Drosophila melanogaster: one gene and its partner. The gene in region 1 interacts genetically with each later gene. Each region holds a gene or a part of one and is shown in the gene's direction. Other genes may lie near its edges. The genes, in order: ara and Ada3.

Region 1 (5,256 bases):
TCTTATGCGGAGCGAGGTGAGGACACGCCCAGACCTTATGGCGCAATTCCGTCGTGTAAGTCGCACTTTTTCGGTTTTATAGGTTAATTTGCTTTTATTACATTATCATAAAAATAAACAAACGACAAAAAAAAGAAGAAGAGAAGAACAGGAGAACAAACAAAAACACGCTGCAAACAAGCTTGCCAACATCCGCGGCACCCGCAAAAACATTTGAGGTTTACCTCATCTCCCCCATCACATCGCATCACATCCACGGCGGACTCTCCATTTCCGGAATGCGTGTCCTCGACCGGAGAATTCATCCTGCCGGAGAATCGTAATCGTAAAAAATAGATCGTAAAGCGGATGTCCAAATATGTTAGTGCGCATTAATAGCAAAAACTTTTTTCCAAATCCAGCATTTTCACGGGCTCATGTGCAATATGCGGGTACCTTTTACACACTAAACTTATGGAATTTTATAAATATAGTTAAAAGTTCATAATAAATATGGTGTAAGTGAAAAAGTGGGCCATTCCTTGCCCTAAATTTGACAGTATAATATATATTTTTTATGATTTCTTAAAAGACCGAACTTTCTGCAAAACACACGAGGTTTAAGTTATCTCTAAAAATATCTTAGAAAAATCAATTTTTTTTTTCAATTAATGTATCATAGTGCAGAAACATACGTTGCATGCAATTTATCAAAAAGAAAATTAGGTCAGGCTTTTCTTGTTTTTCGGATACACGTCAAGTGCTATTTAATTGCAATTAAAATTGCTTATGTTCTAGAAGATATTTTAAGTGGCGAAATTAAATTGGCTAGCATATTTAAGTAGCATAACAATTAGTTTAGTTAGATAATTAAAGTATTTTAATTGCCATAAATATTGTTCGCCAAAGTATCGCAAATGTTGAAAATACTTAAATGATCTGTGTCTGTTAAAAAGCAATTGCAGTAAAAAAATGCAATACACATTTTATAAAAAATTTAAAATGTCTCAAAGTTAATATATGTTATGATTACTAATAACATAACCTAAGCTAAGTAAAAATCTGGTTGATATTTAAAAATCCCAAGAATTAATGGTATGATTGCCTGTTTGAGTAAGGATATTAATTCCTTCCATAAAAAGTTAAAATCTTGTTGATAATTTAAGTAACTGGTATCCAAGTGGAATGATATTTAAACAAAGATCGCTGGAAATGTTTCATTTAAACCCGAATTAGGAGAGATTAATTAGTGAGGATCGATAATGGGAGTTAACTAAAGTGCAATGCAGCGATAAAGATAATGACAGACGATAAATACAGTGCGAGTGTCTTGGAATTTGCTGATCTTATTAACGCTTTTGTGTCGCCACTTTTGGCCATCGCAGCACTTTGTTGCCACTTCCAGCTGGCGATCGCTGGTGGCGCACTTCCAGTCGATGGGCGCGCAATTGTGAAAAGTAAACAAACAAATGACTAGCCAAACAAAACAAATGGGCGTTGCCCGGGAATTGTGGGTAAAACAAGAGACCATCGACAGTTGTGAAAATGCGTCCCGCTCCCTACCCACTTCCTCTCCCTTCACCATCCGCTCATTTCATTTGTATTTTCTTTTCTTTGCTTTCTTTCGCCTGGCGACCTCGCACCTGTCCATTAAATCAGCCAGCCGAAGCTCATGCAGCCCTACGATTGGTGGTTGCGCTGGCCTCACTTCCAGTGAGCCGCGAATACGAGTCACTGGCGGGGAATCGGATTGGAATTGCGGAGAGAGCGACCGGCCAAATGCCACCACCAACACCAGACAAAACCGGAGAACGGTGGGCGTTGCTCTAGAGTGCTTACACTTCCAGTCTGCCGACTCCGTTATTCTTGTTGCTCGCTCCAAGGCGAGCGGCATTCCGTTTCTCTTTCGATGGGGGGAGGCAGCATATTGTTGTCCCGCTTCCGCGCCAACTGCAGCGGAATGCGCCCCAACAGCGCAGCAACAACAACAGCAACAGCAGCAGCAACACGGCCAACAGCAACGGCATTCGCAACCAGTTCGTGTTCGAACGTTATAAGGTGCACATCTGAAAGGGAGCGTGTGCTGAAGCGCCGCGTTTTTGCCGTCGATATTTCGTCGATTTTTCGTTGCCGCCGCGTTTTGCGAGTGCTGTTAGCCAGAAAAAAAAATAAAATATATATAAACAAAAATCCACCACAAGTGACAGCTGCAACTGCAAATACCAAACAAATCCACGAGATACTTTCGGTTGGCCCAATGTCGTTATGGTCGTTATCGCCAGTGCCCACTGTGAACAGACCCAATCGAAACTGAGCTGTTAAACCCCCGATAAGCACATCATTTGATGTAGCAGCTTCACCGTATATCCTTCAGCAGACTGCCCACGAGCGAGAGAGAGAGAGAGAGAGAGAGAGAGAGTATCTTAAGACTAGGTCTTATATAGTCGTATAGTCATATAGCGAAATGGCTGCCTACACACAATTCGGATACGGAGGCTTTCCGTCGGCCTCGCAGGTGGGTCCTCTAATTAACTAAATTTGATCTAGATGTATATACTATATGATGGCTATTCATATTCATTAAGTAGCAAGAGATCTCAAGATAACTAGAGGAATGAAAATGTTTATTAACTGCAGATATGGGAACCTATTTAGATACAATATTATTCATACGACTGATATAATCAACTGATTATTGTAATTATGATTGCCTTAAAGATTCATAATTTTTATGTTTGGAGGTATTAAAAACAGAGGTCACAAGCAAAAAGCGTTGTAAAATCATATTTTTTCATATACATATTTAATTTTTCTATTTATAATCACAACTATCTTTTCTGGAGTGCGTTCCATCATTAAAACTGAACCCGTTATCTGAATATTTTTTCTAAAATTTTTTTCCTAAAAAAGCTTGGTTGGGTTTAAATTCTATTTGTGTGTTTTTTAAGCAATCCTTACCACCAACTTTCATCTGAGTACTTCCACCGACTCCAGTCAAAGTTATCCGATTATTTGATCTTGAGGACCCACTATAGGGCAAAACCGCTAAAAGTCTTTGATTGTAGCGCTTTTGGACTTTTCACTAAGCAGCAAAAACAGCTGCTTGAGGCAAACTTTTTCCATGTTTATGACAGTAAATTGGTGGCAGGCCAGCAAAAAACCATAATAAATCAGATGGCTGATAAATGGCCTGAGAAAAAGCCACTCCGAGGAATCAGGCGTTTTTGTCAACCTTCAAAATTCACACAAAAAACGATTCGGCGTTTTAAAGATGTTGCACAAAATTGCGCGGCTTGCAGGTGCAACTAAAATATTTGTAAAATATTGTGATAAATTACAAAAGTTGTAGAAGCTTTCGAAAGGCCTAGAGTAAATTAAATTTCCTATTGATTGCGTTTGCCTGGGCTAAACTTTAATTTCCCAGGCCATAATACTTGGTTACCAATTGCCTGGTTCTTCCTCCAAAGAACTCTGGCGTCTTTCCCATTTCGGACCACACGAGCCCAATTAACTAAAGTCGAAAACGAAAGCAAAAAAAAAAAAAAAAAACTAAAGAAAAAGGAAAAGAAAAAAGGGAAAAGCCTTGGCAATCAGAAGGCCAAGACGATGGGAGGTGCCGATTGAGGCACGCTCAGGTGAAACTGTTGAAAAGTCAATAAAATTCAATTGCGGCGATCGTAAATCATAAAATTCATAACCGTAAAGTGACAGCTGAGGGCAGGCTCTGGGAATGCCCTCCTGGCTACGTGAGGAGCATCCATTGAATCTGGAGATGGCAGATAGGATAGCATCCGAATCCCAACGAACACGATCGATGGACCAATGACTTGGCTCCACTCTGATCTACTTTACATTGGCTTCGTTTTGGGGAGTGAGGAGAATGAGCGGAGTGCGGCTCCAAGTGGCGCTTATAGTCCGGTGCTATCAACTTGGTCATCTGGAGGAGATTGTCGGGGGAGGCACTCGGATGCAGAATCGCGGTAGCCTGGCCGCTTTGGTGGACCCACGAGATACAAGCTGCGATTAGATCGCTGCGTTTGCGATTCACAGAAATTTCCAAAGCCAGTGCAACTCAGAAGTTGGGTATCTGGCATTGGGCATTGGGTACTGGTTACTGGTTACTGGTTACTGCTCACTGGGCACACACATGGCCAGCAGATCTTATCTGCGCACTGTCGCCTGCCAGTCGTCGTCGTCGTCTGCATCCTCCAACTGCGAACAACGAAAGTTCCACGTTCCATCCGCAGACGTGGCCAATTCACATGGCCCACTGGACCACTGGCGCTTCCTCCGAGAGCGGAAAGGTACTGCTGGAATGGAGTCCTCTACCTCATGAATAATGCATTCGCTCAAGGAGCTGAGGAATCTGGCAGGCGCATAGAGCTCCCTATATGGTGTCGCCTATCAGATTAGTTGTCATAATTCTCATATTGTTGCGTTTGCCGAGAAACTCTGGGAACGCGTTGCCTCCTTTCGATCGCTGAACATTCCCATACAGAATCGAGCGAAATGTATTTGCTTTTTACTAATTAAAATCACGCGGCACGGTGGAATACAAAAAAAAAAGTCAAAAAAGTAAAACAACTGAATCATTCATTTGTAAAATTTTGATAAATGGCTGTGAGTTTTCACATTTTTTTTTTCGATGTCCCTATATATAGTCAGCGGTCTTGGCCTCGAAATTCTATTATTTGTGCGTTTCAGCACGACTCAAAAAAAAATATGTTTTTCCTTTATTAATTATGATCGGACTTGAGCGACCTTCTAGTAGATCACTCACCTGCTGAATTTCGAGGGGATCAATCTCGAATCGAATCGATCGCATCTGATAATTATAAAATAATATGCATGTGCTGCGATTTTCGGGCGAAGAAGATGGTTCTATTGTCAGATTATGTTAATGACGCGGAATAATTATGCATTCTGCTGGCTGCATTTAAGTTTTGACCGCGAATTCGGCCACAGAAGCCGTGTTAGCCGGGCTAAAATTGTTGCTGCCCAGATATTATGACCTTTTGCTGGGCACTTCGATCAATTTGTAGCTGTCCAACGGGCGGAGCACTCAACTTAATTATGGGTTCGGTGCGTCGATATTTTCGCCCAGAAGACTAAAGTCTTCAGATTCCAGACCTTAAGACTTCCAGACTTCAAACTTCAAGACTTCCAGACTTCAAACTTCCAGACTTCAGTTTGCAGATTGCAGACTGTGGGGAAATTGAAGCAGTCCGCTCGTTTTGCAGATTGCCCGCGGTAATTTTCAGAAGCCTTCGCCAGCAT
Region 2 (5,103 bases), on another chromosome or scaffold:
CATCTCAGGGCTGCGACCTTATCGCCACTATCGCCGGTGGTTACAGATTTCTCTTCTCCGGTTTAATTGGCACTGATAACGAGCCGACTGGCCTGCGACTGGGCTTATAAAACATGTGCTAGTGCCGTTTTCAAACAACAGCTGACACACAAAAGCCCCATAATCGCTGAGACATCGCCGGAACGGAACACATCGACGACGACGACGACACACGTAGACGCAAATATTTGATCAATAAAACAAGAGCGGAGGGTTTGTTCAGGTTTTGGCGGCACTGCAAATACCCTTACCCGCCCGCGGTTATTGTTCGACATATTGTTCTAGATATTATGTGCAATCCACGATGGGATTATCTCGCAAAACAAACGTGTTTGTGTGTACACTATCCTTTCTATGACGAGATATAAATTCAAATTAGCTACGATTTTCAGTTGTTCTATCTACCAGATGATATTCACATTGCCAAGATTGCAAATAGCAAAAACAAAGAATTAACTAAAGAAACAAAGAACTATATAGACTGATGATCACTTTTTACTTGAGATAATAGATGGGGGAAGCTTGTATTTATCTTTGTATTGAAGAACAAACAAAAGAAACTCGAAACGAATATATCACTTCTCTTTAATGTACACATCTTATGGAATACAAAACATGAAACCAAGCTTAAATAAAACACTTTTGTCCGCTGTTCATTTATATTAAATTGTTTTCACTGTTTATTTTAGGATCTTTAGAACCGAAACTCTCGGGGATCGAATTTTAACTTAAACAATACACTTCGCACTTTTTGATTGTAAAATAGACAAGTCGAAGTTAAGTTAATTGGCGTAGAACGAAAATAAAAAACTTTTGCAGTTCGGTGATAGATCATAGCTTAAAGGTGGCATTGCAAACCTCTTCTGATAGCGAAAATGCCCAGTTGGGAAAGTGTAGTCAAATCGAAGGGAAACAGCGTTTTGAAGCTGGGATATTTGTGCATATGTCGGCACGACTGAACCCAACTAAACCGAACTGAATCGCTGGATGTTGGCTTTTGATTTTCGTTGATTCCCGCCCGCGGGGAGGGGGGGTGTGGTCGTGAGCAGCGAAGGGGGCGTGGCGGCTGAGCGTCAATTCGACTTGTCTTGTGATTTGCGCCTCACAATTGGACAAACGAGGCGCAATTGGAGGCAACCAGTCCGAGATTATCGGATGCTTCGATGTTTTGGGTGCTTGGATGTTCAAATGTTTGGATGTGTTTGCATGCTTTGTGGGATTTTGGGGGGGTGGGGTTTGGGAAATGGGTGTTCAATTACATAAAATTACATACATACACTGCAGTTTGCACTTGCAGTTCGTCTGCGGAAGGGGGGGAATGGGTCTACTCTAACATCGCAAGCTGCTCCCACTGGCCATTACAAATTGTCAACAGTCGCTGATTTGTTAAGTACACTGCTTATCACCGAAATAGCGCGCATATCACTAAAAAATTCAGACGACGACGGGCGAAATGCGAACGCCAAACAACAACAAAGAACTGAACAAAAAAGCAAAGTATTGGTAAGCACGCGCGCTACGCGGCCACCAGTGTTGCACAGCGCTGGAGCAGCTCTGTTGTGCACGATCACTGTTATAGTTGCAGAGAGTATTTTTCACTATTTTGTGGATAAAATCAAGTGGTATGAAAATGTATCCATGCGATAATGTTCCGTTATCTTCAATTGCTGAAATAAAGTCAAATAAACAGTTTCAATTACTGCTAAAGTTAATTAATGAAATGCTAGTTAAGTATGTCTTAAATTATAAATATTTAGCTACTCATGAGAATTTTTTTTGTTTGGCCCACTGTGCATAACCCGCGCGTGTAGCCCATTCCAGTATTTTACCATCTTGTACATTAGTATTTACCCGTCTTCCGCTACGGTCACACTGCCATATCGACGCAAAACAAATTGCGATTTTCACAACACAAGAAAAGCAGGAAAAACAGCAAATATATCCGCAATCTAGCTAACACACAGGTCCCCAACCAGTCGCAGTCGCGTTCCATGAGTGCGAACCTGAAGAATATCAAACTGGCCCACTTCAGTGGTTCGCTCGGTTCCGGTGGCTTTGGCATCTCTGCGTCATCCGGAGGAGCTGGAAAACTGCCCACAAATGGCACAGGTGGCGGCAAATCCGCCCCAACGAGCACCTTCCTGGACTCCGAGGTGCTGGCCACGCCCGGCGGCGTCGTTATACCAATAATTCGCACTCGGGACGTGCCCAAATTGCTGCCCACCATTGCAGCGGCACTGCAGCGTCCGGCGGATGATCATTTGGCGGCCGAGGATCTGGATGCAGTGCAACTGGAGCTGGAACAGATGCTCTCCAATGTGGCGCTGCGCACGCGCGTCCTGAAAGCGGAGTATGATAGCCTCGACAAGGATGAGAAGCGCCAGGATCGAAGAAAGCTCGACCGTGTGCCTGGATCGCCACCTTGTCCGGCTAGCATGCTCAACGGCTTGCTGGGCATCGGCAGCAACTCGTCGACGAGTCTGGGCAGCCCGCTGGGCGGCGGAGGCGCCTCATCCTCTAGCCAATCGAAGCGCAAGCGGGATGAGCCAACGGGCGTGCGCAAAAAGCACTCTTCGATGACCATTCTCAAGCAACAGGGCGTTTCCGGCGGCACCTCGAAGCACCAGGCCAAGAACAGCCCCTTGGTCGTGCACACCGACGACAGCATGGACTATCTGCCCACACTGGCGGCCGCCAATGCCTCTGGATCCGTGCTGCCGCATCACCAGCCGCTGCCGCAGCTACCGAAAATGACGGTGCCCAAGAACGATACGCCCAACAAGTTCTGGCTATCCGTGGAGCCCTACTGCATGCCTCTAACCAACGAGGATCTGCGCCTAATCGATGACCTGCTGGAGCAGTATTGGGGTCCACTGGTGCCGCCAGTGCCACCTCTGGGTCCCCACTACTCCACAGTTTGGGCCCAGGAGGATATAAAGGCGCTGCAGCCGGGCGGAGCTCGAATTAAATCGAACAATTCCAGCGGAATGCTCAAAAAGGCCGAAGGCATGGTGGATGAGAGCATCACTGGTCCACTCACCCAGCGTTTGGTGTCCGCCTTAATGGAGGAGTCCCTGATGACGCTGCCCAGCGAACAGGCCGCCGTGGGCGAGCACAGCAACAGCACCACGAGCAGCAGCAACGAGAACACCCACTCGCACTCCTCGTCCTCGGCAAATGCTGCCGCAGCAGCTGCTTCCGGGAACTTTCGATCTCTCGCCATGATGAAACACGGCGTGGGCATCGAACAGCGCCTGAAGAAGACTCTCATCGAGAACGGACTGATCGATGCCAGTGAGTTTGCGGCCCACGAAGACGTGGACGAGGTGCTGATGGAGATCAAGCGCGTAACGACCGAAATCAGCACCATTTCGCAGTTTAACAGCGAGGAATTGAAGCGACTGCGTGCCGTTGCCAGTGAGGAAATCAAGCGCATTGCCATCAAACAGAAATTGGACATGGTGGACCAGGAGATACTCGAGTGCTACAAGCGAATGCTGCAGTATCGGGCCAAGCGCAAGGGCCACACCATCGAGGAGAAGCAGGAGATACTGCGGCTGACCAACGAGCAGCGCCTACTTGCGGATCAGCTGGAGCGTATGCAGATGCATCTGCCCTGCATCGGCGGCTCCGGCAACTCCCTGTTAGAGCCAAAGATGTAGGACAGGAGCCTGGCCTGGGGCTGGTGCCAGCTAATGGCCATGCATCAGGCAAAGAGGCAGGTCCGCGACGCTAGCCTCAAGCTGCAGTGCGTCTGAAGGAGCTGCTCCTCCTTACTCGCCACTCCTTTCATTTCGCCAGACTGTAAATTAGCCACGCTATTCGACACGTACACGTAGCCTCTAGTGTCCGCAATCCAAGTTGTGGACGTTTTGGGAAGATGCGCTCATGGTGGCGGAAAATGTTTTGCATAAGTTTTCCTCGAGTTTTGGCATTCGTTTTCCCCAAATCGAACGCCACTTTTGAGTCGTTTTCGACTAGCTTCCAAACCCGTATTCTTATCTTCGTCACCAGACTGTACATTAACAAAGATACATTAGCTCATAGAATGTAGTGTTCAAGATTAAAGTGAAATTAATTATTTAGATAAGATCTTCAAGTGGCGGAGAGTAGCGTTTGCGTATTTTAAACTGTTCTTTTACAAAATCATAATTTCCCTTTCCTTGCTTAGTAACGTATTCCGTATTCTGTAAGCCTACAGTTTTTTGCCAATTTGTTTGTAATTGCCTGAAAATTAAATGGATATCCGTAGATTTTACATGCTAAATGCTAAATTTGATTTTGTGTACATAAAAGTGGAGGGTGAGATTCGCATTATTCGCTAAATGAACTGAAAAACTTTCCGCTACTGGAATTTCCCAAAATTTTACGAGCACGTTGTTTTCCTCATGTCTTTCGCAACTATAAATATTGATTCACCCTATTTAACACTCCCAAATACATACACTTTGTATAGCTTAAGTTATCGCGCGGCAATAAAGTCGTCACTATCGAGAGTAAAGCACAGAATTTTCCACCATGGGAGTGAGTTTGGGAGGAGAGAAACCACCGCGCTGGGCGAACGCTGCGTACGCTTTGAGCTCGATCTGGCCGACGAAGCGGGCAAGTGAACTCCAGCGGATGTGGGGAATCCTCTGCCGTTGCTTCGATCTTGTTTGCCCAGCCGATAAGGCGCAATCAAAGTCGGCAACTCCAGCGTACGGCTAATTAAAGCCAAACAAGCGAGCCGGCCATCTTCGATCGGAGGAAGCCCTTCCGGGCCACGCGGATTGGCTATCTCTAGAACGCTAATCGCCAGGCAAATATATCCAGAAACAAACTTTATTATACGTAGCAAATGGCAGTCAAATCTGATCTTCTAATATGTGCAAGTTTTTAGTCTTGGGTGAACACGTCGTCAGTGGCCTTCCTCTGAATGTATGCTAGATGATGTTTGTGGGTATAAAGATTCATTGTACTTCATGTATGCCGCGGTGCATCTTGCTTGACTGGTCGATCCCTTTCGCCCGCCACCCGATCCCGTATCACAAACGCAGTCACAGTCTTTCGTATACTAAATGTAAG

Evidence for each region.
Region 2: of ara (region 1) and Ada3, changing one suppresses a phenotype caused by changing the other (phenotypic suppression), as found in Drosophila melanogaster (one study listed by BioGRID).

Annotation. Positions count from the first base shown.
Region 1 is NT_037436.4:12,578,660-12,583,915, forward strand, and holds the start of ara (araucan), read left to right. Parts: upstream 1-2,012; 5' UTR 2,013-2,443; coding exon 2,444-2,494; intron 2,495-5,256. UniProt on the Drosophila melanogaster protein: Controls proneural and vein forming genes. Positive transcriptional controller of AC-SC (achaete-scute). May act as an activator that interacts with the transcriptional complex assembled on the AC and SC promoters and participates in transcription initiation.
Region 2 is NC_004354.4:18,083,882-18,088,984, forward strand, and holds Ada3 (transcriptional adaptor 3), read left to right. Parts: upstream 1-1,879; 5' UTR 1,880-2,030; coding exon 2,031-3,701; coding exon of another isoform or gene 3,702-3,797; 3' UTR 3,798-4,537; downstream 4,538-5,103.